Tamandua tetradactyla: one gene and its partner. The protein of the gene in region 2 interacts with the protein of the main gene of each other region in a biochemical or structural test. Links are inferred from orthologs where the notes say so. Each region holds a gene or a part of one and is shown on either strand. Other genes may lie near its edges.

Region 1 (15,999 bases), on a different chromosome or scaffold from region 2:
AAACTTTCAACTTAATAAATTCCTTTTTTTTTTTTTTTTAAACATGGGCAGGCACTGGGAATCGAACCCAGGTCCTTGGGCATGGCAGGCAAGCACTCTTACCTGCTGAGCCACCGTGGCCCGCCCAATAAATTCCCTTTTTAAAAGCCATTCCATTTCTGGTATATTGCATTCCAGCAGTATTAAGAAAACCAATACAAAATGCTCATGATAAATAATAACAACCTTTGGGGCAGGAGAAACAATACTATTTGACGCCAACAGAAGGATCACGTTTTCCTCTAAACGTGATCCCTCAAAAAGAAGAATTTGACTTAGATTTTAGTTCTTTTATGTTCTCTCATGTTAGGGCACTTGCAATTCTCACATAATCAAAAAGTACTATTCGGAGAAGACATCTTAGCCTGACATGACCTCATACAAATCTAGCGTTGAATATTCATAGAGATAACAGGAAAGAATTAGTGAAAAGGAGACAATGAAATTTAATCCAGATTTAGTAATTATTCCTGGGAATATTATCTCACAATTTCAAGGTTACATATCCTTAGAAACAAGTTTTTAAAGACCACTAAAGAAGCAATATAGTAAGTGGTTATGTTGTAGAGTTCACATATATCCATTTACAGAATGAACTGTAAAAATAAAAACCTCTTTACAAAAGGTTATGTAAATGTATATTTGTGGTTTGGGATAAAACAAAATAATCTACTGACTGCAACCCATGATTTCAAGAAGGGCTGAAACTCAAACAATTTAAGTGAAATTGAAGATGATATGCTTTGGAAACATAATTTCCTACATCTAAACAGTGACCCCTTAGTCTCACTGGCCCAGAGACCAATATCGAAATCCAGTAGGTTAATGACTGGGTCTTCACTGCCCCTCTATTTCAAAACTCCCCACAATACACATTCCATCTACCTACCACTTTGAACTACTTTGGGATCATTACAGTGCTATAGTGTTTCCTGAGTATGTGGAGAATGCTTTTTTCCACAACACTTATTTGGAAAAACACATTCTTTATTCAATGTACAATTAAGTCCCCGGGTTTAAGCGCAGATTTTCCAAGGATTACACAAAAGGAGAAGAGTTTTCAGAGAATCAATTTCCAGACACTCAACTTCTACATTTCTGAAATTGATCTGTCCAAGAAGGTTAAGGCTCTCCTATTTCCCTACTCCCCCTTTCATCAGTGTCTTTCTTCACATTCCAAAAGAAAGGTATACGTACCAACTGATCTTATACTTTGCATTGACCCAAGGTATAAAATTTGGGACCCTAACTAAGAGACAACTGCATAATTCCTTTAATAAAGGCACCATAAACACTCACTGAAATCCATCTCTTTAAAAAAAAATTACTTATCAAGAATTGGTAATCAACATTGTTTTAATCAATTGCATTCCAATACTAATTTTAATTATTCAAACCAGAGGAAACTTTAACACATGGAGCCTTATGATGACAAAAAAACATTAATTTAAATACATTTTTGAAACAAAGGAATATGATCAAGAATAAAAGAACTTCTCAAGCAGAAAATTAAATTATATTATAAATTCTGTGAAATTAAAAAAACAGATTTGATTATAAAATCACTGTAGTAACTTACTTTTCAGAAAGAGAAAAACCAATAACCAAATTTATCTGGAAGGGCAGGGTGCCCCCAAATAGCTAAAAGTATCCTGAGAAAAAAAAATGAAGTCAGAGGTCTCATATACCTGACTTTAAGGCATATTATGAACCTACAGTGGTCAAAACAGCATGGTACTGGCATAAACATAGATATACTGATCAATGGAATAGAATAGAGTGTTCAGATATAGACCCTCTCATCTATGAACAACTGATTTTTGATAAGGCAGTCAAGCCAACTCACCTGGGACAGAACAGTCTCTTCAATAAATGGTGACTAGAGAATTGGATATCCATATGCAAAAGAATGAAAGAGGACCCATATCTCATACCCTATACAAAAATTAACTCAAAATGGATCCAAAGAGCGGGCCACGGTGGCTCAGCAGGTAAGAATGCTTGCCTGCCATGCCCGAGGACCCGGGTTCGATTTCCGGTGCCTGCCCATACTTAAAAAAAAAAAAAAAAAAAATGGATCTAAACATTAGATCTAAGACCATAAAACTGTTAGAAGAAAATGTAGGGAAATATCTTATAAATCTTATACTAGGAGGCGGTTTCCTAGACCTCACACCCAAAGCAAGAGCACTGAAGAAAAATAAATAAATGGGAACTCCTCAAAATTAAATACTTTTGCACATCAAAGAACTTCGTCAAGAAAGTACAAAGACAGCTTACACAATGGGAAACAATATTTGGAAACGATATATCAGACAAAGGTCTAGTATCTAGAATATATAAAGAGACTGTTTAACTCAACAACAAAAAGACAGTCAACCCAATTACAAAATGGGCAAAAAGACTTGAACAGACACTTCTCAGAAGAGAAAATATAAATGGCCAAAAGGTACATGAAGAGATGCTCAACTTCTCTAGCTATTAGAGAAATTCAAATCAAAACCACAATGAGATATCATCTCACATCCACCAGAATGGCCATTATCAATAAAACAGAAAATGATAAATGCTGGAGAGGATGTGAAGAAAGAGGCACATTTATCCACTGTTGGTGGGAACATCAAATGGTACAACCACTGTGGAAGGCAGTTTGGTGGTTCCTCAAAAAGCTAAATATAGAATTGCCATATGACCTGGTAATACCATTGCTAGGTATCTACTCAGAGGACATGAGGGCAAGGACACAAACAGACATTTGCACACCAATGTTTATAGCAGCATTATTTATAATTGTGAAGAGACAGAAACATACAAAATGTCCATAAACAGACGAGTGGCTAAACAAACTGTGGTATATACATAAAATGGAATATTATGCAGCTGTAAGACAGAATAAAGTTATGAAATATATAACAACATGGATGGACCTTAAGGACATTATCTGAATGAGATTAGCCAGAAACAAAAGGAAAAATACTGTATGGTCTCACTGATATGAACTGACATTAGTGAATAAACTTGGAGAATTTCATTGGTAATAGAGACCATCAAGAGGTAGAAATAAGGGAAGATATTAGGTAACTGGAGCTGAAGGAATACAGATTGTGCAACAGGACTGAATGTAAAAACTCAGAAATGGACAGCACAATACTACCTAACTGTAATACAATTATGTTAAAACACTGAATGAAGCTGAATGTGAGAACGATAGAGGGAGGAGGGCTGGGGGCACAAATGAAATCAGAAAGACAATAAAGACTGAGATGGTATAATCTAGGAATGCCTAGAGTGCACAATGATAAGTGACTAAATGTACAAATTCAAAAAATGTTTTTGCATGAGGAAGAACAAAGGAACGCCATTACTGCAGGGTGCTGAAAATAGATGGTAATTAATATTTAAGAATTTTACTTTATGTATGAGACTAAAGCAAAAAATGTTTATTTGGCACAAAATTTTTATTTTGACTAGTGCATTTTCTAATACAACTTATGTAGACAGCTTAATTGAACAGCATAAGTTCAAGGAACCTTGAGTAGGACATTAGATTTTGTTGGTTGTTCCCAGAGTGATTTGAACAGTGAATAAAAAAGTATTTGCAAAGTCCCCTGCCGGGAATGATGACAAAGGGGGAAAATTCAACTTCCCCAAGCTGAATTCTTGATATTCTCACAAGCAGTGCAGACAATTAAAGATATAGGTTGAGTCCCCAATCTTGGAGTTTGTTCATATGAAACTTAACCCCACAAAGGATAGGTCAAGCCTACTTGAAATTAGGCCTAAGAGTCACTCCCAAGAGAACCTCTTTTGTTGCTCAGATGTGGCCTCTCTCTCCAGCCAACACAACAAGCAAACTCATCACCCTACCCCTGTCCACCTGGGACATGACTCCCAGGGGTGTGGACCTTCCTGGTAATGTGGGACAGAAGTCCTGGAATGAGCTGAGACTCAGTATCAACGGATTGAGAAAACCCCTAGAATGAACTGAGAATCAGCATCAGGGGACTGAGAAAACCTTCTTGACCAAAAGGGGAAAGAGAAATGAGACAAAATAAAGTGTCAATGGCTGAGATTCCAAACAGAGTTGAGAGGTTATCCTGGAGGTTATTCTTATGCATTAAATAGATATCGCCTTGTTAGTCAAGATGTAGTGGAGAGGCTGGAGGGAACTGTCTGAAAATGTAGAGCTGTGTTCCAGTAGCCATGTTTCTTGATGGTGATTGTATAATGATACAGCTTTCACAATGTGACTGGGTGATTGTAAAAACCTTGTGTCTGATGTTCCTTTTATCTACCTTATCAACAGATGAGTAAAACATATGGAATAAAGATGAATAATAGGGGGAACAAATGTTAAAATAAATTTAGAGTGAAATGCTGGTGATTGGTGAGGGGGATGGGTAGGGGGTATGGTATGTATGAATTTTTTTGTTTTCTTTTTCTGAATAGATGCAAATGTTCCAAGAAATAATCATGATGATATATATGCAACTATGTGATACTATTGTGAATTACTGATTATATATGTAGAACGGAATGATCAAAATGTTTGAATTTGTTTGGTGTTTTTTGGTATTTTAAAAAAATTAAAAAATTAATAAAAAAATCACTGTAGTGTTTATATTCTACTAGACACATTTAAAAGACTGAGGCAGCATTTTTATTTTTAGATGTTGGTATTCACAATATGCCAGAAATTATATTCTTTGCATCTGTTTAAACCTATGATAAAAAATTTTAGTTTATCAACTTGAAAATGCACAGAAGAGTAGTCAGATTTCTAGTTTAGAATGATCTATGACAACAATCTGAAGAAAAAACTGGAGAGGGGGAAACTAAGGCCATTTGAGAAACTTGCCTTTCTCAACATTGAGAAACAGTACAGATAAGAAGGTAGGGAAATGGCATGGTAAAGCTAGAACAGATTCAAGATGGGGTGAAGAGTTACTGCCAGGTTTCTGGTTGGGAAGACTGGTTTAAAACTGGGAACACTCTCTAAAATAGGAAATAAAGCAGGTTTGAGGGAGTAATGAGTTCAGTTTTTGGGCGTGTGAGTTTTAGATGGCTATGAGACTGACGAGCTCAGTGCAGATATCCACACAGCTGTTGTAAGAATGAGTCAAAAGCTTAAGGTCTACAAATCTGCAAGGAAAATCATTACTTCCCCACTAAGGACACAACCTTTGGGGGGAAGTCTTCCTAACAACATGGGACATGACTTTAAGAGATGAGTTTGGCCCTGCACCGTGGGACTGACAGTACTTTCCTGACCAAAATGAGGAAAAGAAGTGCAACATAATAAGACTCAGTGGCCCAGGGAGTTCAAATAGAGTACTGAGGCTATTCTGGGAGCTACTTTTATATAAGCTTCAGCTAAATATTGCCTATTCCCATGTTGTGTCAAACCCCAACCAACATCATTCTTGTTAACTCTTAAGAATATCTAGGGATCTAATGGAGATTTTATAAAAGTTTCATGCAGTAAGTTTACTTTCCTGAAATCTATAACCTCCAGAGGGTGCCTAGGCCAGATAACTTCTGAAATCCAGAGGAATCAGCCTCTCCAAAATTATCAACTAATTACATCCCCCTATCCTTCATTGTCAACACCCTTTCTCAAAATGTAAAAATCAGAATGGGCATTGCCGAAAGACCCTTACAGACAGGAGAAGGATTGAAGGAGGAGTTATAACAAAGAAAATACAATTTCACAAATGAGTATGAATGCTAAATCATTATATTAATACTTCTTTCAGCCTCCAGTGTTTTGGAGCAGCTAGAAGGAAAAATCTGAAATAGTGGAATGAATGAAAACCCGTAACAAATTCAGAAATCTGTTCTGTATCTACTTGTTAAAATGTACTTTGAAAACTATTGCTTTTTCTTTCTTTTCTTTGTATATATATTTCACAATAAAAAAACATTAAAAAATTTTTTTAAAAAGAGCATAGGATCTGGAAGGCTATAGGTAGTAGTGGAAGATGCCCCAGTTATTGCTCTGATTATCCAAAGGAGTGGGTAGAAGAGGAAAAGGGGCTAAGATTGGAATACCAAATTGAAGGGATAGGCGATGGTCCCACAAATTGCAGTGCCTAACATAGCAATGCATGAATATTTGTGAAAGAGAAAGAGGAAGTGGAAGAAGTAGACAGATAGATTGGAGATTTAGGAGAAAATTCATCACAAAATACAGGGTAAATATTAATAGCTTGTCTCAACACAGATAGTAAGGAGTGGAGCTGGAATTAGAACACAGGCTGTTTAACTCCAAAGACAAAGCCTTATGTTGCCACTCATGACAAGGGAAACATACAGAACATAATTTAAAAGACTAAGAGGGGAGTAGGTAAGGATGGCATAACGTTTTAAATTAAGAGCGGGCTGTTGAGGAATTACTTCTCAACCTTCTTTTCCTAAACCTACCACTTAAAACATAGAAGGTTCTCTTCTCACATTTTTTGTTTTTCAAATGGTTTCAAGGAAATGATAGACTCCCTGTACACTCGACTTTTAAATGGGTAGTAATTCCCTATTAGAAAGTTTCAGGTAGATGACATCCAAATTGAAACTCAAAACTCTTCTTGTCAAGGAGGAACTGAGGGAATAAACTGGATTTCTACGCACTAACATAGAAATATGTTCAAGTTAAGCCACTAAAGTGAACAACAAAACATTCTGATCTCATCTCTGTAAATAAGCACCCTATGTATTATTTCTGGCATCGAAAAACATCTGGAATAAACAACCTATTAACAGTCTGGGGGTGTGGTCATGGTGATCGTCCAGTTAATAATTTCCAATTTTTATGAACATATATTAATCGGGGTGGGGGTGGGGGAGATTTGGACCCTGCCAGCAGGAAATGTCCTGCGTTCTCTGCGTGACCGAGTTTCCTAACAGTGCATCCGGTCATATTTATCGGTGGCCCTCCAAACACAGCAAATAAGGGCTCAGTAAGCTTCTACACAACTGAATTAATTAAACAAAATGAATACAGGGCGTCCTGGTGGATCTCATATGATTATACAGAGAACGACAAAAACAACAAAAAATGCAGCCGATTCCCGGTTAACGCGTAACACACAGACCTAAGGCCCTAAGGAACGTTGGAGGCCAGTTAATTCATCTTTCCTCTCACCTTCAACCTATATTTGTGATTTTTAAAAAAGTATTCTGAGGGAATGAAAGTACAGCTTACTTAGTAGTCCGCGTCAACACTAATTCATTCTTACCGTGGGAAAAGTCGGTTGGGAAACAGAATTTTAGTCTGCCCTGGTTTGAGGTGTGTTCGGAAGACGGATACCGCCAGCAAACAAGCAGCGGTTAGGACCGTTACTTACCATTTCTCGGGGCGCCAAACTGGGGCTGGCGGAGCACCGAACTGAAGAGCATCTGGACCGAAGGAGAAGGCTCAACCGCGAAGAAACCTGCGGAAATGCCCCCAAGTGCAGCAGGAATCGTGGCTTGCGCCTCTCAGAACACGACTCGTTGGTGCCTCCAACTCCCGCCACAGCAAGCTCCGGCCACCAAACTCCGCGCCAAACTGACGTAACGATCTCTGATTGGCTCCTGCCGCGGCGTCCGGACGCCTTAGAGTCATTTCTCCCGCCCTATCCCCGCCTCCTTTTCTCCCATCCGCGGGAACCTGGAGCGCAATAGCTCCCTGAGCGCCTGCGCGGGGGACTGAACGGGCGTTGGCGAACCGCGTGGTGGCCAGGGCGCATGCGTAACACGGAATGCCAGCGCACGGCGGAAAAATTCGCGAGAAGGCGGTGTGAGAAGATGGCGGTGTTGGGACAGCGTTTGCAACCTTTATGAATAGGTTAGGGAAGAAACTGTTCGGGCCATGGCGTCAAACTCAACTAAGTCTTTCCTGGCAGATGCTGGCTATGGCGAACAGGAACTGGATGCTAACTCTGCCCTTATGGAATTAGACAAAGGTATTCGAAAGAGCGGACTGAGTGGGGAAATAGATGTGGGGGGGGACGTGGCGCCCCCAGGTGGTGTTGGCCTGGGGAGCGTCGGGAAAGGCGCGTGCGCGTACCTTCTGGGCGGGGACTCAACCCCTGCCCTTGTGCTCTGGATGAGGCTAGAGCTTTGGCTGTTGGGGGAAATTGAGGAAACCCTGCAGGATCCGCTGATTGGCCTTGCACCGATGAACAAGTAGCGACCTCTGGTGATGCCCTGTTTGGACCACTTGAGGGCATAGTACCCCGATTTTCCAAATAGTTAAAGTGGCTAGTTTCTAAAAATGCTGAGTGACAACTGATAGTGGGTGCAGTACCTATGACCTGGCAAGATTGTTGTAAATATTAAGTGTATGCAAAAGAGGTCTGTATTAAATGCTAAGAAGATGTCCCTTCCTTCTTATAAATGGATATGGAAGACAAGGTGGATAGTTATCAGTAAAGAAGTCAAGTATTAAAATGAAACCTTTGTTTTATTGTACTACAAGGACTTTTTATTGTGTTGGGGGAAATATTTTGTATGTTGGTAGTACAGTTAATTCTTGATAATCTGTAGCTAATGTATGCGTGTATTGTGAACTGGACTTTAAGTCACAACACTGCTTTGAGCCACTTACCTTTTATGCAACTTGGACATGCCTGTTAACTTTTGGGGGGCTTGGGTTTTATTTGGTTTGGTTCTTTTAATTTAAGCATTTTTAGTATTTTGGTCTAGATTAGAGTTTCTCAGACTTTCTTGACCCTTTATATCATTTTGATTAGCATAAAAATGTCACAGTACCTCAATTGAATAGTCCTTTGGCTGAGTCACAGTATCTTTAGTGCATCCCCATCAACCAAGAAGGTGATGTTGCTCTTTGCTTTCATTTATAAAAGCTTTTGCCCCCCCACTGAAATGTAAAATTATGAAATTATATTGTTCTTAAAACACTACCGTATCTTTCCTTCCTTATTCTAATACTTTCTTATTCCGCAGTGAGAGTTACAGGTCTCGGTTTTATCTAATATCTCTTACATTTCTAAAGATACTTTCTACCACTGGTCCAGTGGGACTTGTCCTATGTTGACAGTAGGACATTGGTTGTAGGACATGAATCAGGATGGGGCTTAGAAGAAACGAGCAGTCTAGAAAAACATAATCCCTAAAAATTTGCGGTTATGCGAAGAAAAGAAATTTAACAAATTGTTTTCCTTCTTAAAGAAGAGATGAAATAGAAACATTTTAGATCTGTAAATGGCCGACTATTGAGTGTTTAACCATAAATCAGGCATCAGTTGTACATACTAAGTGATCATATATTCAATCCTCCTAGCAATGTTCTAGATGAGTCTCAGGATCTGAAAGAGAATTTAAAACAAGATAAAAACAAAACTCTTGTCCTTTCTTACATCACCATGCTGCACCTTTTAAATTATGTTAAGGCCAGTTTCATTTACATATGGTGTTTTAAATATTGAATCCTATTGTCTTTCACTTGTTAATGAAAGTATTTGTTTTGTGAGCCAAAAGTCAATAGGCTCAGAAGGCTATGAGTTTTAATTTTCTTAGTTCTCAAACTTCTGGATCAGTTTCCCAGTATGTACTGCAAGGAAACTATTTATCTCTCTTTCCTTCTCTCTATCCTTCTCTCTTCCTTTCTCTCTCTTCCTTTCTTCCTTCCTACCTTCCTCCCTTTCTTTTTCTTTTTTTTTCTCTCTCTCTCTCTCTCCTCTCCCTCTCTCTCTCCCTCTCTCTCTCTCTCTCTCTCTCCCCCTCTCTCCCCTTCCTTCTAGAAGTTGTATGTTTATAGAAAAATCATGCAGAAAGTTTGAAATTTCCATATATGCCCCCTTAGACACAATCTTCCGTATTATTAACCCTTGGTGTTAGTGTGAAACTTTTGCTACAATTGATGAGACAATATTACAATATTACTATAATTCATTTTATTAACTATAGTCCTTAAAACTATTAGAGTCCACTGTGTTGTACAGTTATATGATTTTTTTAAAATTTTATTCTGATTACACATATGCAACCTAAAATTTCCCATTTAAACCACTTTCGAATATATGATTCAGTGGTGTTGATTACATTCACAATGCTGTGCTACCATGGCCACAATCCATTACCAAAACTTTTCCAGTGCCCCCAAACAGAAACTCTGTACGAATTAAACATTGACTCCCCATTCTGTACACCCCCCCTGGCAACATCTTGTGTTCTAGTTTCCGACTCTGAATTTGCATATTCTAATTTCAAAGAAGTGAGATGAAACAATATTTGTTTTTTAGTGTCTGACTATTTCACTCAACATATCTTCAGGGGTCAACCACGTTGTAGCATGTATCAGAACTTTATTCCTTTTTATGGCTAAATCATTCCATTGTTTCTGTATATCATGTTTATTTATCCATTTGTCTGTTATCCATTTGCATTGCTTCCATGTTTAGGCAGTTTTGAATAATGCCTCTTGCAACACTAGTATGCATATATCTGTTTGAGTCCCTGCTTTCAATTCTTTTGAGTATGCTTGTTTAATTATATGGTAATTGTTTACGTAGCTTTCTGAGTAATCTATAGACTGTTTTCCACAGCAGATGCACCATTTTATATTACCACCTGCAATGAATGAGTGTTCCTGTTTCTCCACATCCTCTCCAACACTTTTCTGTTGTTGTTTTTTTAATAGTAGCCATTCTACTAGTAGGTATGAAATGGTATCTAATTCTGGTTTTGATTTGCATTCCCTAATGGCTAATGTCATTCCCCAATTTTGAGCATCTTTTCATGTGCTTATTGGCCATTTGTATATTTTCTGTCTATTTAAGTCTTTTTGTCCATTTTTTGTGTTTTTTTTTTTTATGGTTGCAAATAATACCATTTCAGAAGTATTTTAATAGGAGTTTCTGCTCCGTTTCTCTCACAAACGCACACACTCATACACACTACTTATTTTATGATGCTTTATGCTAGGGATATGGCAGTTAACAAAACCCCTGCTCTCATAGAGTTTATATTCTAGAAAGAAGAAAAAGAAAATAAAATATATTAAACTTATTGTGCAAAGAATGATAAATATTATAAAGAAAATGAAACAAGGGAAAGGGGCTAGAGAAAACTGGGTATGTGGTTGGGGTTGATTTTATCATTTTGTGTAGGATAATCAGGAAAAGCCTAGCTGATAAAGTGGAGGAATGGCAAACACTGTTGTGGGGCGCAGCAAAAGAGAGACCACACAATTCTAAAAAACTGCAAGCCAATTTGGAGTCTTTATTAGCCAGCCAGCGACTGCCTCAGAAACCCCCAAGAAGGACGATTCAGAGAGCAGCCCTGAGAGATTCTCAAGGGGGGCTTATAAAGGCAAAAAACGCAAGTTTATCCACAGAAGCAGGAAAGGGGCATTATCTTTTTAGAGCCACATCTTGGTTTGCAGCTGTAAGCAAGCAAGCTCATCTACTGAAGCAGAAAAATGCCGTTAGCTCTTGCAAAATACATCCCATTCTTTTAGTTTCTTAACAGTGATTATTGTTCAATTTTTAACTCTTGGGAACTTTCCGCCCTGGATCTTGTGACTCCGGATACCTTCTTCTTGCTAGGGCCTGATTTATTGCTCCTGACCCCCCACATTCCCCACTGGTTTTATGAGAATCAAATAATTGTTTCTGTATTTTGATTATAAATCTGTTGATAATGGGTTCGAAGGACTGATAATTTAATAGCTTGTATTCTTTTTTGCACATATGAGTTCAGACAGTTTATTATATGGGGTCCAACCATTAAGCCTAATGGTATGAGAATTAGGGGTCCTGTTATGGTGATTAAGAGCGTGGTCAGCCATGGGGACCAGGAAAACAAATTTTCATACCAGTTGGTTTCAGCTTTCCGGCGTTCCTCCCACTCTCATAACCTGCTACGGATTAGGAATAGACTGTTTCTAATTATTCCAGAATGATTGGCATAGAAGCAGTAGCTGTCTCCGAGGGCCATGTGTAACCCCCCTTGTTTTAGAAACAGGAGGTCTAAGCCTCTGCGTTTTGGAGAACAACATCAGCCAGTGAATTTAGGGAGTTTTCCAAATGACTGACGGAGCTTTCTAATTCACTAAGATCCAGGTCAACTTGTTTGCTAAGAGTTTTAAAATTTTGGTCCCCGGTGATAAGGGCTGAAGTTCCGACTGCAGTTGATCCTGCAGTGCCCAGTCTGACAAGGAAGAGCACCAAGATTGGGGCTTGCTTGGTCCAGTAAGTGATTTCTAAATGTTCCCTACCCCCTTCCCCAGAATAATAATATACTTGGGGGATAATGTGAACTAAGATATAAAATTCCTCCTCGACGGCCATTATTGGGGGAGTTATACAGAGGGTAATACCGGATGTGCCGGCAAACCAAGTACTGTGGGGGGCTACAGGGAGGTGGTCCCATCCATCCGGGGTTGAAGTCAAAATGTCCTTTAGTGACATGATGAGACCGCAGGAGTCACTATAGGGAGATTTAGCTAGATTAAATTTTTTTTTTTAACATGGGCAGGCACCGGGAATCGAACCCGGTCCTCTGGCATGGCAGGCAAGCATTCTTGCCACTGAGCCACTGTGGCCCACCCTAGATTAAACTTTTCAGAATAAATACAGGTTCCCTGCCCTTGGAGATCTCCTAGGATGAGTTTTGGTTCCTTTCTCCACCTGCATAGGTGTTGGCCTTGTGCCTCTTGGACTGAGAGGTTTCTGATATGGGTATCTGCGAGGCCTAGGGAGATATTAGCTCCTATTCCTGTGTAATAAGGGGGTTCAGGGTTTAAGCAAAGCCAACAGTCTTCAATAATAAGTGGATTGGTTTGATTCATGAACTGGAAAACTGAATTTAACATGTTGAGCAGTGGTTTTTTAGGGGAGGGAGAGGAATTTATTTGGGAGTTTGGGGTAGCATAGGCTTTTGAGCTCAAGCCTACCAGAGGTGGGGCCCCGGGTCTGGGGGGCTGTGCTGGTTTAATGACAGGGTTGAGAGCTCGATTAGGTCCTATGGGATTGTCTGTTTTATGGGGAAAGAACCTTTGAATTGTGAAACTGGTGCCTGGGTTGTAACCTGAGACATATAACCTCATTCCCCAAGTTTTTCCACTCGCCCAGGTTTGGATACGCCAGGAAGGGATAGCAATAATCATTGGGATACAGGTGGCTCGGGTGCAACTGTTGGGGTTATGGGCTGGAGCCCTTATTAAGGTTATGAACCAGTCTTGGTTAGTCCATTCTGCTATTGTTTCGCAACCCCAGTTGGCACCATAATATTGGCTTTTCTCTTGGCAGTTTAAATTTTCCTCTGCAGAACAGACATAGTATTGGGTATGCCATAAGCCTTTTTGCTGATGGGGGTAGTACACCCATATCTGATAATGTTACCATAACTCCCCTTCCCTAGGTGTCCAAACAGTTGGCAGAGATCAAAGTGGAGGGTTGGTTAGGAGGAAGTGGTGGTTGTAGCTACCACTACTCCATCCACCATTTTATATATGAGTTCCCAGGTATAGTTTATAACCTGGTGAAGGTTTTTTTTTCCGCAACCCCCACCAGGGATATCAGGAGGACCCAGAGGGATTTCTGGAAAGTCTTATCTTTAGTGGATCCTCGGTTCGCTGGATGGTCCATTTTCCAGGGAGCTGATCTGGGTCAGCTTTCTTGATCTGGGTGTGATGAATCCAGTGTCGGTTTCCCACAACTTTTACTGCTGTTGGGGTTGTGAGGATTGCTGGCAGGGGTCCCGTCCACCGGGCCTCCAAGGTGGCTAACTGAAGCCTTTTAATCCAGACCAGGTCTCCGTGCTGCACCTGAAATAGATCTTTGTTAGGGGCAGGGTTTGTTGGTCCCGGATGGGCTGTCTTCAGTTCTCGGGTGTGCTGGGTAGCAGATTGCAGGGCCTGTAATGATTTTAGAAGAGAATGGTTATTTAATTCAGCTATTTTCTTTTCCCCCAATTTAGGAATTAGTGGGGGTGGTCGCCCAAACATGATTTCATATGGGGTAATTCCCTTAACGTAGGGAGTACATCTAGTCCTTAGGAGGGCAAATGGAAGGAGACTCACCCAGTTTTCGCCAGTCTCGAGCTTTTATTCAGTTTCTTTTATTGTTCTATTCATTTTCTCAACTTGCCCTGAACTCTGTGGCCTATAAATACAATGTAATTTCCATTTGATATTTAATATTTTTGCTAACAATTGGGTAATTTGGGTGATGAACGCCAGCCCCTGTTGCAGTCGAGAGGCCAAATCGGGTGACAATTTCGAAAACTAGTTTTTTACTACTATTTGTGCTATCTCGGTTTTGGTAGGGAATGCCTATCCAGAGAAGGTGTCAATGAAAACCAGCAGGTATTTGTATCCATATAGAACAAGTAATATTTCTGTGATGTCTATTTCCCACTGTTCTCCTGGGGCTTGTCCCCTCATTCTAATCCCTTGGGGCACCTCCTTCCCTTGGCCAGAATTTGCCTGGGTGCAGATGTGGCATCTGGATGATATCTGCCAGGCTTGATGTTGCAGTCGGGGAATGTAGTAATTTCTCTGTAAGAGTTCAGTTAGTTTCATACTGCCCCGGTATGTACTTGGTGAACCTGGGCAACCAAATTGTGCCCCAGGTGCTCTGGCACCAGGATTCTCCTGTCTGGGAGAATTTTCCAACCATCCAGATCTGTTCTAGTGACCAGAGTTTCACCCAGTTTAATTTCTTCGCCAGTATAATTTGGAGGGCTTGACAGTACCTGTCTCGGTAAGACAGAAAGTATCTGCAGCATCCCCACTGGTTTTTGGGCAACCTCTTTTGCCATTTTATCAGCCAGGGCATTTCCTCTGGCGATTTGAGTTTCGGCAGTCTGATGTCCTTTGCAGTGTATAACTGCTGCCCTTTTCGGCAACCAGATAGCCTCTAGAAAGGCGAGTATTTCTGGTATATTTTCTATTTCTTTTCCTCCCGTTGTCAAAAGTCCCCACTCCTGAAATAGTGCCCTGTGGACGTGTGCAGTTGCGAAGGCATATCTGCTGTCCGTGTAGATGTTGACAACCTTCCCCTTTCCCCACCTTAGAGCCTGGGTCAGAACTATCAGTTCAGCCTTTTGGGCCGAAGTCTCATGTCCTAGGGCCTGAGCCCAGATGACCTGGTCTGCAGTTACCACTGCTGCCCCCACATACCTGATTCCTTCTAAGACATAACTGCTCCTGTCTGTATATAATTCTTCATCAGGATTTGGCCAGGGGTTGTCAGTGAGGTCAGCCCTCAAGTTTTTGAGGGATTCCAGGACCTCGCAGCAGTCGTGGGTGGGCTCGGATGGGTCATCATTCGGGAGTAAGGTGGCGGGGTTAAGGGCCATCGCTTTCAGGAAGCAGATTCTTGGAGGATCTAGTAGCAGTACTTGATATTGGGTTATCTGGGCATTTGAGAGCCATTTCTCAGGGGAGCTTTTTAGTAATGTTTCGACTGAATGTGGTGCCACTATTTTTAAGTCCTGCCCCAGAGTTAATTTGGATGCTTCTTTAACCAAAATAGCAGTGGTGGCAATGGCCCAGAGGCAGTTTGGCCATACAGCTGCTATATAGTCTAGCCTCTTAGACAGGTAGGCAACTGGCCTTTTCCATGGTCCTAATATTTGGGTTAGGACCCCTTTTGCTATTCCCCGGGCTTCAGCAACATGCAGTTGAAAGGGTTTTGACAGGTCAGGCAAGGTTAAGGCAGGAGCGCTTACAAACGCCTGTTTCAGCATTTTAAAAGCCTTTTGCTCAGTTTCAGTCCAGGTTAGAGTTTCCTCTTTTCCCCCTGTACTAGTATACAAGGGCTTGGCCATTTCTGCAAATCCGGGAGTCCAGAGTCAGTAATATCCAACTGCCCCCAGGAATCCCTGTACCTGCCTCTTTGTCTTTGGTTGGGGTATCCTTAAGATAGCTTCACCCCTACTCAAGGATAGTGTCCTCCTTCCTTCCTTTAGTTTGTATCCTAAGTATGTTGCCGAATTGGTGCAGAGTTCGGCTTT
Region 2 (15,845 bases):
CACTGGTGATAAAATGAAGACAGAGCACATACTGTACTGGCCTTGCCCTAGTTCCTCAACTGCACCAGTCTCTCTAAATTCCAAGACTTTGTAAATGTAGAGAATCAGATCTACTACTCACCTTACCCGACTAGGTCCTCTTTGATTTTAAAGTGTTTTTCTTAAAATTTAATGGCATTTCCCTAGGTAGGAAGCATTCTCTGCCCCTTAAGTCTTGGTCAAATACTTAACAATAGTACCCAAATGTTTTCCTTTCTAATTAGTAATAAACTTAAAATGATGTCTTATACTTCCATTTTTCCTGTTAGACATTATTAACTCCACGAAGAAAGAGACTGCACCCCTCTTGTGTTGTTGATTTGTGATGTTCACTGAGAAAAATAATTGTATTCTAAGAATATTACCTTTCTTGAGTGGTTTATTGTACCATCTATCTTTTTTGATGTCTGGAATGGTAATCCTTACTGATGGATTCTCAACCAGGATTTTATGCAGCAGAGCTGAAAATCAAACATTAAGACAAGAGTCATGAAGATTAGAAAAGTAAATGTGCTTATCATAGGGACACATTTTCTACTGGTCTGCTTATATCTAAATATTATATCTGGGAAAAGGAATGAATGATGCTACTATATTATTTAATTTGATAAATAATTATATTATTTAATTTGTAAGGAAAATTTACTTTCCAATAACTTTTTAAGGAACAGTAACACAGTCAACAATAATCTTAATATATCATAATTATCTTGAAAAAGAATTCATATATCTCCCAACACCAAAACTATTTTTGAATGGACCAAAGATTTAAGTGTAAAAATGAAGCCACAAAAATATTCAGTGAAAATATGGAATTTTTTTTAAATAACATAAACAGTAGAAAACTATTTTCTAAACATGACAAGAGAGTATGAAACCACAAAGTTCAAAACTGATAAATGTGAATAATTAAAACCATAAAATTTCATGTCAAAGTAACATACACAAAATTAAAATAAATGACATATGATGAAAAATATTTGCAACAAATGGAAAGGCCTAATGACATTAATATACTAAAAAAATTCACACAAAATAAAAGAAGCAATAAAATTCCCTGTTGAAAATGGGCAAAAGACAACCTATAAAAATAGACAAAAAAGGTAATTAATACATAAAAGGTATGTAATCTTATTGGTAATACATTTAAAAATGAATAACGAGTAATTTTTTTACAGCACTGTTAGATTTAACCACGTTTTTTTAAATCATTTTTTAAAATAAACTGATGAGATTATGATGAAGTGGTATGAACTTTCTGGAAAGCAATTTCGACAAAATAAACTGAATAATTAAAAACTCCATGTACCCTGGACTTTGCAATTTCACTTTTAGAGCTTTATTTTAAGTAAATGATTTACAGACATGTGTAAAGATTAAGTATCTCTTTTGTAACAGTGAAAAATTAAGCAAAAACTTAAATTTCCAATAAAGTAAACTGAATGAGCACAATAAGGCATAGCTATACAGCAGAATATCATCATAATCTTTAAAAAGAATGATGTAGACCTGCAATTATAGCCACGGAAAAATGTTCAAGAACATTAAGACAAAAACCAGATTATAAAATAACATGTGTACTATCTCAATTTCTGTAAAAACATTCATACTTAAAATATATTTATCCCAACAAAGTCTAGAAGAACGCAATCAAAATATTTTTTAAAGATTATTTCTCGTGCTGGATTTACACAGGTGCTCTTTTCCTAAATTTTTATTTATAGTTTTCTATTTTATCTACAAGGATAGTGGATTATTTATGTGAATTTGTTTAAAAGTTAAAAAGAAAAAATAAATTAAAAAAATTCAAATAGCACTAGAATTCACTGTCCAATAAACACTTTCAATCAAGTTAACCCAGTTACCCAGAGGAGCAGAATCAATTTTTTTCCAAGGGTTGAGGTATGTTTTTTTTTCTTTCCAATCAGAATATTCCTGACAACTGTCACTGGGCTGGTCCCACGGCAATTCTACAAAAAGAGAAAAGTCCCAGTTTTCTGAGTGTTCATATCACTATATAATTATTATTTCATGAGAGAAAAAATAATAATTTGAATTCATTAAATGTTTCCTACAAATTAATTCAACAGGGTTACAAACTAAGAATGCCAACTCACAGAAACTTTAGAGACACCTCAAAGACGGATGAACCACTCCTGTCCTAATCTTTCCAAAAGTGTTGACATGAAGTCTTAAAAGAGATGGCTACAGTGATTTTTCATATAATAACTCATCCATACCTCATTTTGAAAACCTTTGAGGTTAAAAGTTCCAAGTTAGTTATAAATAACAGTTACTATTAAAATGCTATTATATAAATAGATCCCCTTAGTTTACTGTCTATATTTTGGCATTACAAATCTGAATTACCATAGGACAGCAATTTTATCATAACTAAATAGCTCTTACCTCCAGCCAACATTGCAGTAAGTACGATTCCACAGGACCAAATATCAACTGGCTCTGCATGAAATTCTTTTCTCTTCAGAAGTTCTGGAGCAACATAAGGTAAAGTACCACACATCTTGTTCAATAAACGTTCACGACTATTATGCCGAAACACTGTTGCCAGGCCAAAATCAGAGATTTTGAGGTTATCTAAAGCAAAGGAAAAAATGATGGCATTGAATAGAAATGTTTTTTAAATAGATAAACATTTACAGATTAAAAAGAGCAAAGAGCACAAGACTGAAGTCCAGGGTATTCCAATAGAAATCTCCCTTCCTTAATCCATTAACAAACCGCTTCAAATTATTCTTATTCTTATCTAAGCGTGAGCTACAGATTTCTCTGTCTCACCCACAATTATATAAAGGACTTGTAAAGTCCAATTATACTAAATCTCTTAAATTTCTTTGACTTTTCAGATTCTTTTGCCGTGAAATCTCAGTAATGTAAATTCTTGGTCCTTCCCCTGGATGGTTATATTAAAATAATTTTGGTAGCAGAGACAAAATGCCAAACTTACCTCTTTCATCTAATAGAAGATTTTCTGGCTTAATATCCCTGTGGGTTATTCCAATACCATGCAGATAAATCTGAGAGTGAGGGGGAAAACACACCATAATTTGATAAATTACTTCATCTATGCTAAGTTTAAGTAAAAAGGTAAGAGATAATGGTACCTACCACCCCTGCCATAAGTTGATGGAAGAACCTCTGAGCATCTTGTTCAGGCATGCCTATGTCTGGCTCTATAGGAATTATAAAAAAAAAAAAGTAATTATGAAAGTTAGTTTTTCAGATAAATATACTCAGTCATCAACCACATGGTCAACTCTTAATTTTAAGCTTAAACATTTGTCTCACTGTACTTTAACAGAAAGAAACTTTAGCAAAAACAGTCTTAAGTTAAGAGTCACGAGTCCACTACCACATGATACTTAATAATTCATTTCCCTATTTGTAATATGGTGAAATATATCAAGGGAAAATTATAGAGAGATTATAAGCTATTGTCCAAATTAAGAATGTAAACCATGCTTAGAAAGCCTCTGCTTACTCTTAGCCTGATTTATTATCCCTCAAATCCTCCCTCAATATCTTAATGATAGAACAATATCTTCCCCACTCCTGAAATCTAACTGCCAGTACAGAAGCCTGGGAAAACCTAAGCCAATTTCACTAAAAATTTAACAATAGACTTAAAGTACATACCACCTCTCCTATCCTTCAGGAACAAAGTTTTATTCACAAATGTTCTTTTTTATCATTTTATATTTTGATCTCCCTCATTAACTTCTGATTTAGTTTACTCTCAACTCTCTCCCAAGATACATATTAGAAATTACAGTAATCAAGTATTAATACAGTTGCTTTGAATAGGTCCACAGAATACATTTTATGTAATTATGTGCTCTGTAGTAATAATCCTTTGAATCAACATAGAACATATAAGAACCAATTCAGAATTTACTTAACATATATTTTTTAATCCTAGAAGGTTCTCAGTTATATTACTTAATAAGTATGTTAAGAAGAAATCTAATAATATGCTATTATTTTGGATCTTGGGATGTATGCAATGATTTCATGAAACCAGAATGCTACAAAGAAAAAAAACTGGGTAGGCAATAAGACATTGCATTTATGAAGTATATAATTTTTAAACTCTATAAAACGGTAATCCCAATCAAAATCACAAATATGATGTGCAAAAAAAATTTCTTTCCAGTGACTTTATATACACTTATATTTTAAACCAAAGTCAAAAAAAAAACAGGCTAATTTACTCCAATTTCAAGGTTACATAAGCACTTCTGAAAGAATGACCAAATATCAGACCCAAAATTTAAACACAAATTTTGAACTTTGTTTAGCAGAATAATTATCTTGAGTTTTTAGAAGATTGATTTGGAACACTATTTTACCATACCTATTCTATCAAAAAGTTCTCCCCCACTGCAATACTCCAGAAATAGATACTGGATGTTGCCTTCTCTCCTGTGACCATAGAATTTCACTACATTCTCATGATTTAACATTTTATTGATACAGATTTCTTTCTTAATATTTTCTGGACAGTCTATAGCACGCTTCATGTCTACAATCTTCACTGCAACTGCTTCTTCAGTTCTTCTATTCACAGCAAGTTGAACTCTTAAAAAGGAAAAGAAAGAGTTATAATATTCCAAACATTTGTATTATAGCCCTTTTAAAACCTCAAAAGATTAAACATGACTCAATCCAAAACTATTTTATCTTCATTATTTTCTTTACCAAGGAGAAACCAAGGAAAAAGTTTCTGCCATGCTCTCAACAGATATCATTCCTTTCTGAAATGTGAAGTACTATAAGTCATTATACTATACAGGCAAGTCATTTAATAAACATTTGATAAAATAAATTGTGATAACAGCACTTCTAGGCCACATCACCTATATACATCTTTTATCTGTTTAATTTAATCACATATCTAACACTTATTAATCCCATACTATATACCTCTGGCAAACTATTCTAACCACCTATTGGGTAGGTTCTATTATTGCCATCTAATAGAGGAGGAAAAAGAGGCACAAAAAGACATTCAGAAGTTTGCCTAAGATTACGCTACCATGACCAGTATGTGATAAAGGACTACTTGACACCAGGCAGTCTGTCTCCACAGTCTGCTTATTTGCTCGTTTAACCATTATGTTTACAACCCAAGAAGGAACGTGTGAAAGGGGAAACAATGACTTCAGAAGTCTCTTCCAACTCTTAAAGGAACTTTTTTTAAATGGGGAAAAAAAAAAACACTAATCCTTACAAAAGATTTACAACATCAGTTTCCAAAATTACTGGCTTTTAAATGTAAAGGTGTGTTTTCTAAACACGACTGTATTATTGTAAACAACTCCAAGACAAGGAATATGTACTCAAGACAACAGACAGAAATACTAAGCAGGTGTGCAGGTAGGGTAAAAGGACTCACTCTCCGTAGGCACCTTCTCCCAGAGTTTGCACCAAATCCCAGTCTTCCACAAAGGGAACTGCCATGACTCCAAGGCTGTAAAAGGTAGGAAAGATGGAAAAAGTGTGAGCTTCAATCACCTGTAAAGTCACTGAGCTCTCACCTGGCCATGATTCCCCAACTATAAATAACAACTCTTAGTTTTCCCTTACATCTCATCCAAGTTTTATCTAAGTCTTTAAACTACAATCAAATTTTCCAAATTTAGGCACTTTGTTGGGTAAATCACAACCCCACCCCACCGCCATTTCCACGCAAACTGAAAGCTGAAGCCCCGCCTTTCTCGGATCCTAAAGGAAATTGAATAGAGGAGCTGGGGAACCGGGCAAAAAATCCCTTATGGTGAAGAGATTGGGGAAGGGAGTAAGAGAGGTGAATACTGAGGAAGAGAGTAAGAACGGTAGATTTGTGTCCGCGTAAAGAACAACTCTGACTACTTCAGCCCCACCTCCCCCCTTGCTCAGTACCAATCCCACCCTCACTAAGTCCTAAGGGCCGGGAGGGGCTCGGGGCGGGGTCAAACCGTTCGAGGAAGCGGAAGGAAAGAGTGGGACACCGACGGGCGGCGCCCAAACCTCTGGGGTTCCCAATCAGCAGAGGAACAGTCTCTCATGTTCCCCTCTACTATGAGGACCGCCCCCCAACTGGTACCACCCTCCCAAACGACTAGTCCGCGGGAGTTGTCTCCGGTCCCCCTCGCTCTTCACCGATAACTGTCTCTTACTGTGCCTCTCTTCATTAATCTAGACCCCGAGCTTCTCCATCCTCCTTATCCACCCTATCAGCCACCCCTCCTCACCAGGTTGTCCTTTAGCCGCCACCACAGGAATCTGAATGCAACGCTTTTCCCGCCAAAACTTGTAGCGTCACACTGTCGTAAACGCGCGCGCCCCTTGCCGTAGAGCAGGGAAACGCAGATTACAGTCTCTGCGGTTATGAAGATTGACCGGTGCCGAGAAGTTTTCCTTCCCAACTCTAGCCGGTTGCACCTCGATTCCTTTAGGGTCGGGGAAGATCTTAGCTGAGGAGATTTAAAGACCACTGGCTGGATCAGAGTGAAATGGGTGGCCGGTGTGGGAACCTCGGCTGGGGCGGGGCCGGTGGGCCGAAGCGCCTCCCGAAAAAATACTCCGTGCTTGCAGGCAGCGCCCTGACCCCGTGGGACCTGGAAAGGCTGACCGAACTTGCGCGACCCTACAGGCCGTGACCTCTGAGCATCCTACCTGGCTGCCCCACGAGATGGTGAGGACCGTGTGCTACTAAGCAATGCACAGCGCTTTGTAGACGTTCAAGGGCGGTACCGATAATTCTGGAGCCCCGAATCTTGACAGCTGTTGAAAATTGATATTGTGAAGAATGAAACGTATTTTTGCGGAGTGGGAGAAAAGCATCAGAAATGGCCACACAGGAGTTGGGGGCAAGGGTCTGGAGGAAGAAAGTTATTCTTTTGTCATTTGAAGGGATGTCAGGAAAACCAGTGTTCTTGTGTATTGTCAGTGAACAGGTCCCAAACCATACCCGCGTTAGTCCAACTACTTTGAGGCAAAAATGTCTGCATAGCTTAGTACTTTGCGTTCTTAATGTGTAAGAACTAGGCATGTAGAAGCCGAAAAGCTGTTGCACCAATGGTCTAAAAAATGATCATGGTAATAAATGTACAACTATGTGATAATATTGTGAGCTATTGATTGTACAGCATGTTTGGAATGTTTGTATGTTAAGAATTAAAATTAAAAAAAAAAAGCTGTTGGGCGAGCCACGGTGGCTCAGCAGGCAAGCATGCTTGCCTGCCATGCCAGAGGACCCAGGTTCGATTCCCGGTGCCTGCCCATGTACAAATAAAAATAAATTAAAAAAAAAAAAAGCTGTTGCACCATATTTTACAACGCAAATGAAAAGGGTAGAGTAACCATTTTAAGTAGGAAAGTATATTCTGGGCAAAGGGACTTGCTTGAGAAGCAAAACCAATCTGAAACTGAAGTAGGTGCTTACCCTGCCCAGCCCACACAGTAAGCTAGACTAGGAACTGGAGGCACAAATATCATCGTCGCCATTAAATTCTCAAGTCAAGTATTTGGCCCAAATTCTCAAATTGGGCCAAATACTCTTGGCATAACTAGCTATTGACTGTGATACTGTTAATAAGGTAAAATATATTACATCAGAAGTACACACATCTTAAAAAAAGTGCACACATCTATTTGAAAGATCAAAAGTCAAGAACAGAACACTTTATAATGCTTATGTATGAAGTGTTAACCATGATATCACAGTTTGGGCTTTATGTAATAAGTTTTTCCAGTTTATTTTCCCCCTTTTTTCTAGTTTCCTCACTGAACTGCAAACAGAATATTATGAGAGAGAAGGACATGCACAGCTCCTCTGAGTGTGAATGAAATTACACTATCTTTTTAGCCTGAAAAAAAAAGAGGAATACAGATTTCAGGCAAGAATACCAGTTAAAGATAGCATATGAAAGAATGAATATACACAATACCCTCTGCTGCCTTCTGAAACCTTACTAAAATATTACTAAAGAGTAAATTTTTAAAAGACAATAACCCACAAGAATGAAGAGTATGAGAAAAAAAATTTTATAAAGTGGAAAGCTTTTAAATGCAAGATAACTTACATGAAAACTTAATCACTCAAAGCCAGCAGTGAGAGAACAGAAAAGCAACTCTATACCACAGAATTTCCAAAAGCTCAAGAATTGTTGATACCAAATAATTCAGAATGTAGAGGTAAAGGTATGGCTAAAAACTAGGTTGAAAGATTGTAAATAAAGCAAATAAATCCCTAGATTTTGTTCTTCCTCTTGTACCCAAGTAACTACCCCTCCCCAAAGCTGATATAAAAAAGAGGGTAAATGGGTGGCATCTGACCTGGGAAGCATCAAGCACCAAGGTCTTACTGAAAACAGGAGGATTATGTTTAGACTCTTGGCCTTTTCTCACCCTATTCCTACAAAGCTAGTAGCCTGGCTTATATCCTTGAGTTAGGAGATAGAGCTTTCTCAAGGGAACCTTACCGGTGTAAGAGAAAAGATCTGGATCCTATACCAGGGATCCCCATTCTAACAGCACAGCCAGATCACAGGAGGGTGAAGCCTACATTCAAAACAAACACCTTCCAATCAGCTTTTAGAGTTCCACTCTTAAAAAAGAACAAACAGCCAAGAGTTTGAGAAAATTTTTAATATTAAGGATGTCAAAAATATTCAAACAAAGCTCTTCAATATTAGAAATATGAGAGCAGAAAAGAAGAAAACTAAATAGATTAGAAAATTAAGGAAATCTCCCAGAAAGAATAGAATTTGGAAAACAGCAAATATAAAAATATTAAGTTGATGATGATTGAACAATAATATAGCTTTCACAATGTGACTCTGATTGTGAAAACCTTGTGTCTGATGCTCCTTTTATCTACCATATCAACAGAAGAGTAGAACATATGGAATAAAAATAAATAATAGGGGGAACCAATGTTAAAATAAATTTAGTTTGAAATGCTCGTGATAAATGAAAGCGAGAGGTAAGGGTTATGGTATGTATAATCTTTTTTTTTTTCTCTTTTTTATTCCTTTTTCTGTTGTCTTTTTTATTTCTTTTTCTAAATCAATGCAAATGTTCTAAGAAATGATGAATATGCAACTATGTAATGATATTAAGAATTACTGATTACATATGTAGAATGTAGTGATATCTTAATGTTTTGTTTGTTGTTAATTTTTTTAATTAATAAAAAAAATATATTAGGAGACTAATCCAGAAAATCCAAATAACTGTTTTTGGGGGTAGGAGGTGGGGGGATTGGAATTCAGAAATAACTCAAGAAAATTTCTCAGAACTGAAGAGTCTGCCTTCTCACAATGAAAAGTCCAAAGTACTAAGCACAATAGATGACCTGCTCTAAGACGCATTATTGGGGAAACTTCAAATCATTACAAAGAGAAAATCCTAAGAGATCTAGGTTGGGTGTGGGGAGGAATGGACACAGACAAAAAAACTAAGAGTGGGAATAGCATTGCATTTCTCTAACATTTGGAAGATATAGAAAACAGTGGACCAATGCCTTCAAAACATTCTAAGGGAAAAATTATTTTCAACCTAAAATTCTATACCCAACTAATCAAGCATGAGAAGAGGTAAGCAAGAGCTCAAAATACTTTTCTCTACACACTTTCTCAGGAAGGTATTTAGAGGTGATAAATTTATGGGATTAACACACACATATAGAGGCAGTTCAACAAAAATTAGAAAGAAAAAAAAAAAGACCAGTATTATTAAAGGAATACACCAAGACAAGAGGTATGCAGCAAACCTAGGGTAAATGAATCCAAATAGAAATATAGCAAAACATGAAACATCTTTAAGAATGAATGCCTAATGTATTTGAACTATTAAAAGAGGGTTGGCCTCAACAACAAAAGAACAAACAATCCAATTATAAAATGGGCTAACGATATGAATAGGCATTTTTCTGAAGAGAAAATACAGATGGCTCAAAAGCACCTGAAGAGATGCTCATTTTCACTGGCTAAAATAGAAATGCAGATCAAGACTACATACAATGAGATACCACCTCACACCTCTAAGAATGGCTGCTATTAAAGAGACAGGAAACTATAAATGTTGGAGAGGATGTGGAGAAATTGGGACACTTATGCACTGCTGGTGGGAATGTATAATGGTGCAGCCACTATGGAAGACTGTTTGGTGGTTCCTTAGGAAACTAAACATCGAGTTGCCCTATGACCCAGCAATAGCACTACTTGGTATATACCAGAAGAGCTGAAAGCAATGACACAGATATTTGCACACTGATGTTCATAGCAGCATTATTGGAGCACAATCACCAAAATATGGAATCAAACCAAATGCACACCAACAAATGAGTGGATCAACAAAATATGGTGTATACATACGATGGAATATGCAGCAGTAAGACAAAATGACGTCCTGAAGCACATGACAAAATGGATGAGCGAGGACATAATGCTGAGTGAAATTAGCCAGATACAAAAGGACAGATACTGTTTGATTCCACTTTTATGACCAGCATAAAGGTATAATCAGAGGCTTATAATACAGAATATAGGGGACTTAGAGATACATAGAAGCTAGAGATGGGTTAACCGTCAGCTAGTGAGGTTGAATTCCAATGTAAGTGAATAGATAGGAGCAAAGGTGATTCTCTAGTGGGTCTAGAAGTATTATTATCATACTGAAGATGAACAAGATTGAAAAGGGTTGTATAGACCTATGTGTCCCACTGACTCCCACTAGAAACATGAACGAGTTTTCGTAAGAATTAAAGGATTCGATTCTTGTATAAATAATGTTCAAGTCCAGGGTACAGGGGGGAAACTGCTATTGCATGCTATTGAGCTATGTTCAAAAGCAAACCATCATGGAGGTAGCTGAAAGATGCATTGACAGAGAAGTAGAATAGCAAACTGTTGTGTATACATGATGGAATATTGTGTGGCTACAGAGAAGAGCAAAGTCATGAGGCATGCAAAGAGGAGAATGAACTTTGGGGACATTATTTAGTGAAAAATAAGCCAGAAACAAAAGAACAAGTATGTATGGTCTCTCTTAGAAAATACTACTTATAAGAAAATTGGGGCTTAGATTGTAAGCCCTTATACCAGTCACATTTAGTCCAGAGCTGAAAACATTATTTCTAGATTTTGAGGTGCTGTGCTCTATATGTATATAACCTGGTACATATATACATATACATATATTGGTACATATAACGACTATTAAAGAAACCAAAAAAGAGATCAGGCTTCACTTAGAAGATAAGAACAAAGTCAATCTGGTCAAGACTAAGGTAAATGAGAATAAGGGGTAAGGACATCATTGTCTGTATTTTAGAACTTCGCCTGTGTGAGACCAAAGGAAGAGAGGTTTATTTTGTCAAAACCTAACTTTTCTATAGCACATAATCTAACTCAGCCTGTCTGGATAGCCCGTTTCAACAACCCAAACACCTGGAGCTTAATGGGAATAAAGGTTTGTAATTCTGCATAGTTTATATCCCAGCGTATGTTGGGCAGATAATTAAACAGTATTGACAAAGTCCCTTGAAGAACTGGAGAAAAAAATTGGAACTATTAAACTTTACCACTGGGAAACCCCTGATACTGTCACAAACATTAGGGACTCCTAACTCAATAGGCCAAGCCCTTGATCAAACCTTAGTTTGCTCTTATAAAGCTTATTTCTGTAGTGGAGAAGCTTAGCCTACCCATAGTTATGCCTAAGAGTCACTTTCAGAAAATGTCTTTTGTTGATCGGATGTGGCCTCCCTCTCTAAGCCCAACTCTGTAAGTGAAACCATTACCCTCCCCGCTACATGGGACATGACATCCAGGGGTGAAAGTCTTCCTGACGATCAAGGCCATGACTATAAGGGATGAGTCTGGCCCTGGTATCATGGGATCAACAATGCCTTCTTGACCTAAAGGGGGAAAAGAAATGTACCAAAATAAGGTAGCAGTGGCTAAGAGAGTTCAAATAGATTGAACAGGCCATTCTGGAGACTACTCTTACACAAGCTTCTGCTAGATATTGCTAATTACCATGGTTTGCCAAACTCAACCCAAAACCATTCCTGCCAACCCAAAAGAACACCTAGGGCATTATCTGAGATGCTACAAATGTTCCATGCACTATGATTACTTTCCAGAAACCTATAACTTCCAGATAGCTCCTAGGCCAGATAAGTCCTGACACCTAGAAGGGCAAAGCTCTCCAAAACATCAACTAGTTCCATCCACCTATCACATATTATTGATAGTCCTTTCCAAATAAAAAAGTTAGAGTGGACTTAGCCCAAATACCCCTAAAGATGGGGAGAAAGATCAAAGGAGGAGAAGTTATAACAGAGAAGGAAGGATTTAACAAATGAGTGTGACTGCTGAGTCATTATATAGATATTTCTTATAGTCTCCAGTGTCTTGGAGTAGCTAGAAGGAAAAACCTGAAATTGTGGAGTTGTAACCCACACCAAACTCTGAAATCTGTTCTATAATTACTTTTTATAATGTACTTCAAATTTTATTGCTTTTTTGGATATATGTCATATTTCACAATTTAAAAATGCTAAAAAAAAAAAAAAAAAAAGGAAACCATCAGCACTACCACAGCAACAGCAGAGGTAAATAATGGGGTGAGACAAGACTTAAGAGGAAGTTTAGATTTCCTATTTGGCGAGGGTGTGCTTATTGGTTTTATGTCTCTTGGGAACAATGAAATTATCTAAAACTGAGAATGTTGATGGACTGTGGACTTTGCACCCTCTACATGATGCCCAATGAATGCAGATGGCTGAAGGATGCACTGACAGAGAAGTAGATTGGCGAACGATGGTGTATACTTATGACGAAGGTTGTTCTGCTACAAAAAGGAACAATGTCGTGAGGCATTCAACGATGAGAATGAACATGTGGGACATTTGGTGAGACAAAATAAGCCAGAAACAAAAAAACAACAATGGTATGGTCACTTTTAGAAAATGCTTATAAGAAAACAGGGGCTTAGGTTTTAAGTTCTTAGAGCAGACACATTAAGTCTGTAGTGATGATTATTATTTCTGGATTTTGAAAGGCTGTTTTATATATCTATAACCTGATATTTAGAGATAAGAATGAAGCTGAACAGGTTGGAATTAAAGTAATTCAGAACATAGGGGTAAAGAAGACAGTGTCTATATTTTAGAACCAAACATATTCTTTGAGACCAATGGAAGAAAGGTTTATTTGATCTGAAACTGAAATTTTCTGTAGTGCATAACCTAATTCAACCTATCTGTATAGCTCATTTGAACAACTGAAACACAGGGAGCATAGAGAAGGAGGTCCTTTAATCCTGTATAGATTATCGTAATGCCTGGAAACATCCTGGAGTATTTTAACCAGATAATCAAAAACTATTGGCAAAGTCCCCTGAGGGAGGGGAAAAAGGCTATGGAACTATTAAACCTTATCATCAGGGAATGCCTGATACTGTGTCAAACTTTAGGATCACCCAAATTAATAGGCCATGCCCTCGATCATGTTTACTCTTGTAAGAGCTCCTTTAATCCCGTATAGATTATTGTAATGCCTGGAAACATTCTAGAGTATATTAAGCAGATAATCAAAAATTATTAGCAAAGTCCCCTGAGGGAAGAGAGAAAGAATATGGAACTATTAAACTTGACCATCAGGGAATCCTCTGATACTTTTAGAGATACCCAAAGCAATAGGCCATGCCCTCAATCATGAGGCTTACTCTTGTGACGCATATGTAGGTAGTAGAGAAATTCAGACTGCCTATAGGCATGCTTAAGAGTTACTTCTGGAGGACCTCTTTTGTTGCTCAGATGTGGCTCACTCTAAGCCCAACTCTGCAAGTGAAATCACTGTCCTCCCCCCTATGTGGGACAAGACATCCAGGGGTGAAAGTCTCCTTGGTGATGGGGGGGATGACTCCCAGGGATGAATCCAGACCTGGCACCATGAAATCAACAATTCCATCCTGACCAAAAGGGGAAAAGAAGCATAACTAATAAAGTATCAGTGGCAGAAACAGTTCAAATAGAGTCAAGAGGCTACTCTGGAGGTTCCTCTTATGCAAGCTTCAGGTAGACCTTGCTACCTATTATAACCTGCCAACCCCCAACCACAACCATTCCAGTCAATCCTAAAAAACACTTAGGGCAATATATAAGATTCCACAAGGGTTCCAGGCACTAGAGTAACTTGCCAGAAACCTGCAACCTCCAGATGGGTCCCTGGTCCAGATAAGTCCTGAAACCCAGCCCAGCCTCTCCAGAACATCAGATAGTTCCATTTCCCTACCCCTTATTAGTGACAGAACCTTCCAATATCAAAAATTTAGAATTGCCACAGCTCAGACAACCCCAAAGAGAGGTATGGAAAGATCAAAAGTTATGATAGAATTATACAGAGAATAAGTCCTATACATAGGACTTAACAAATGAATATGGATGCTGAATCATTAAATTGATATCTCTTTTAGTCTCCAGTATTTTAGAGTGGCTAGAAGTAAAAACCTAAAATTGTGAAACTGTAACCCATGTTAAAGTCTGAAATATGTTCTACAACTAATTGTGGTGCTGTGCTGTGAAATTTATAGCTTTTTTGTATATATATTATTGTTCACAAAAAAAAAAAAGGAAAGGAAAGTCGATTGTGATGATAAAAAAGTATTTAAGCCCTCCAGCCTCCTATATTCTGGAGCAGCCAGAAGGGAAAATACAAGAGGATCGTATGGTAGCCCATGACAAACTGACAAACTCTAGGATCTATCCTGTGACCACTTTTTGAGGAGTGCTTTCAAAACTATTGCTTTTTTATTTCTTTGCTTTGTATATATGTTAAACTATACAATAAAAAAAGTTAAAAAAAATTAAAAGGGGGGGGTGGTTGGCAAAAGATTTTAAGACATCTCTCCAAAGAGGATATTCAAGAGGCCAGAAAGCACATGAAAGCATGCTCAACATCATTAGCCATCAGGGACATGTAAGTCAAAACCACAAAGAGGTACCACTCCATACCCACTAATGTGGTATTTTAAAAAATGGAAAACAGTGTTGGAGAGGACGTGGAGAAACAAGAACACTCATTCATTACAGGTGGCAAAAGTAATGTAGTGCAGCTATTGTGGAAGACAGTTTGGCAGTTCCTCAAAAAGCTGAGTATAGATCTACCATATGACTCAGCAATCCCACTACTCGCTATATACCCAAAAGAATGAACAGCAGGGACTTGAATAGTTGAACACCAGTGTTCATAGCAGCATTATTTGTGATTGCCAAAAGAGGAAGCAACCCAAGTGCCCATCAATCAATAAGTGGATAAATAAAATGTGGCAGATACATATAATGGAATACTATTCAGCCATAGAAAGGAATAAAGTCCTGAAAAATGTAACATGGATGGACCTTGAAGACATTATGTTGAGTAAAATAAGCCAGACACAAAAGGAAAAATATTGTATGATCTCATTGTTTTAAAACAATTAAAATAAGCACAAACTCAGAGTCAGAATCTAGAATACAGTTTGCCAGGGGACAGGGTGGGAATAAGGAATAGGAAGTTAAAGCTTAAAATGTACAGGGTTCATATTTGGAATAATGGAAATGTTTTGGTAATAGATGGTGATGATGGTAGCACAAGATTGTCACTTCAATTGAGCATTGATTTAAAGGGGAAATGTTATATTGTATATATTAACAGAATAAGAATTTTTAAAAAATCCATGGAACTACACTGCACAGTGAACCCTAAGTCAAACCATGGACTATATATAACAGTACATTTATAAAAATGTCC

Evidence for each region.
Region 1: of the proteins of CHEK1 (region 2) and DTL, one has a biochemical effect on the other in vitro, tested with the Homo sapiens proteins (2 studies listed by BioGRID). The link is inferred for Tamandua tetradactyla from reciprocal best matches to the Homo sapiens genes CHEK1 and DTL.

Annotation. Positions count from the first base shown.
Region 1 is NC_135330.1:70,017,955-70,033,953, forward strand, and holds the start of DTL (denticleless protein homolog), read right to left. Parts: upstream 7,723-15,999; 5' UTR 7,432-7,722; coding exon 7,380-7,431; exon of another isoform or gene 7,272-7,379; intron 1-7,271. Other genes in the region: INTS7 (integrator complex subunit 7), read left to right, coding at 7,886-7,979. UniProt on the Homo sapiens protein: Substrate-specific adapter of a DCX (DDB1-CUL4-X-box) E3 ubiquitin-protein ligase complex required for cell cycle control, DNA damage response and translesion DNA synthesis.
Region 2 is NC_135334.1:11,924,356-11,940,200, forward strand, and holds the start of CHEK1 (serine/threonine-protein kinase Chk1), read right to left. Parts: upstream 6,360-15,845; 5' UTR 6,294-6,359; intron 5,531-6,293; 5' UTR 5,521-5,530; coding exon 5,456-5,520; intron 4,639-5,455; coding exon 4,415-4,638; intron 3,234-4,414; coding exon 3,169-3,233; intron 3,078-3,168; coding exon 3,008-3,077; intron 2,638-3,007; coding exon 2,449-2,637; intron 2,010-2,448; coding exon 1,905-2,009; intron 501-1,904; coding exon 405-500; intron 1-404. UniProt on the Homo sapiens protein: Serine/threonine-protein kinase which is required for checkpoint-mediated cell cycle arrest and activation of DNA repair in response to the presence of DNA damage or unreplicated DNA.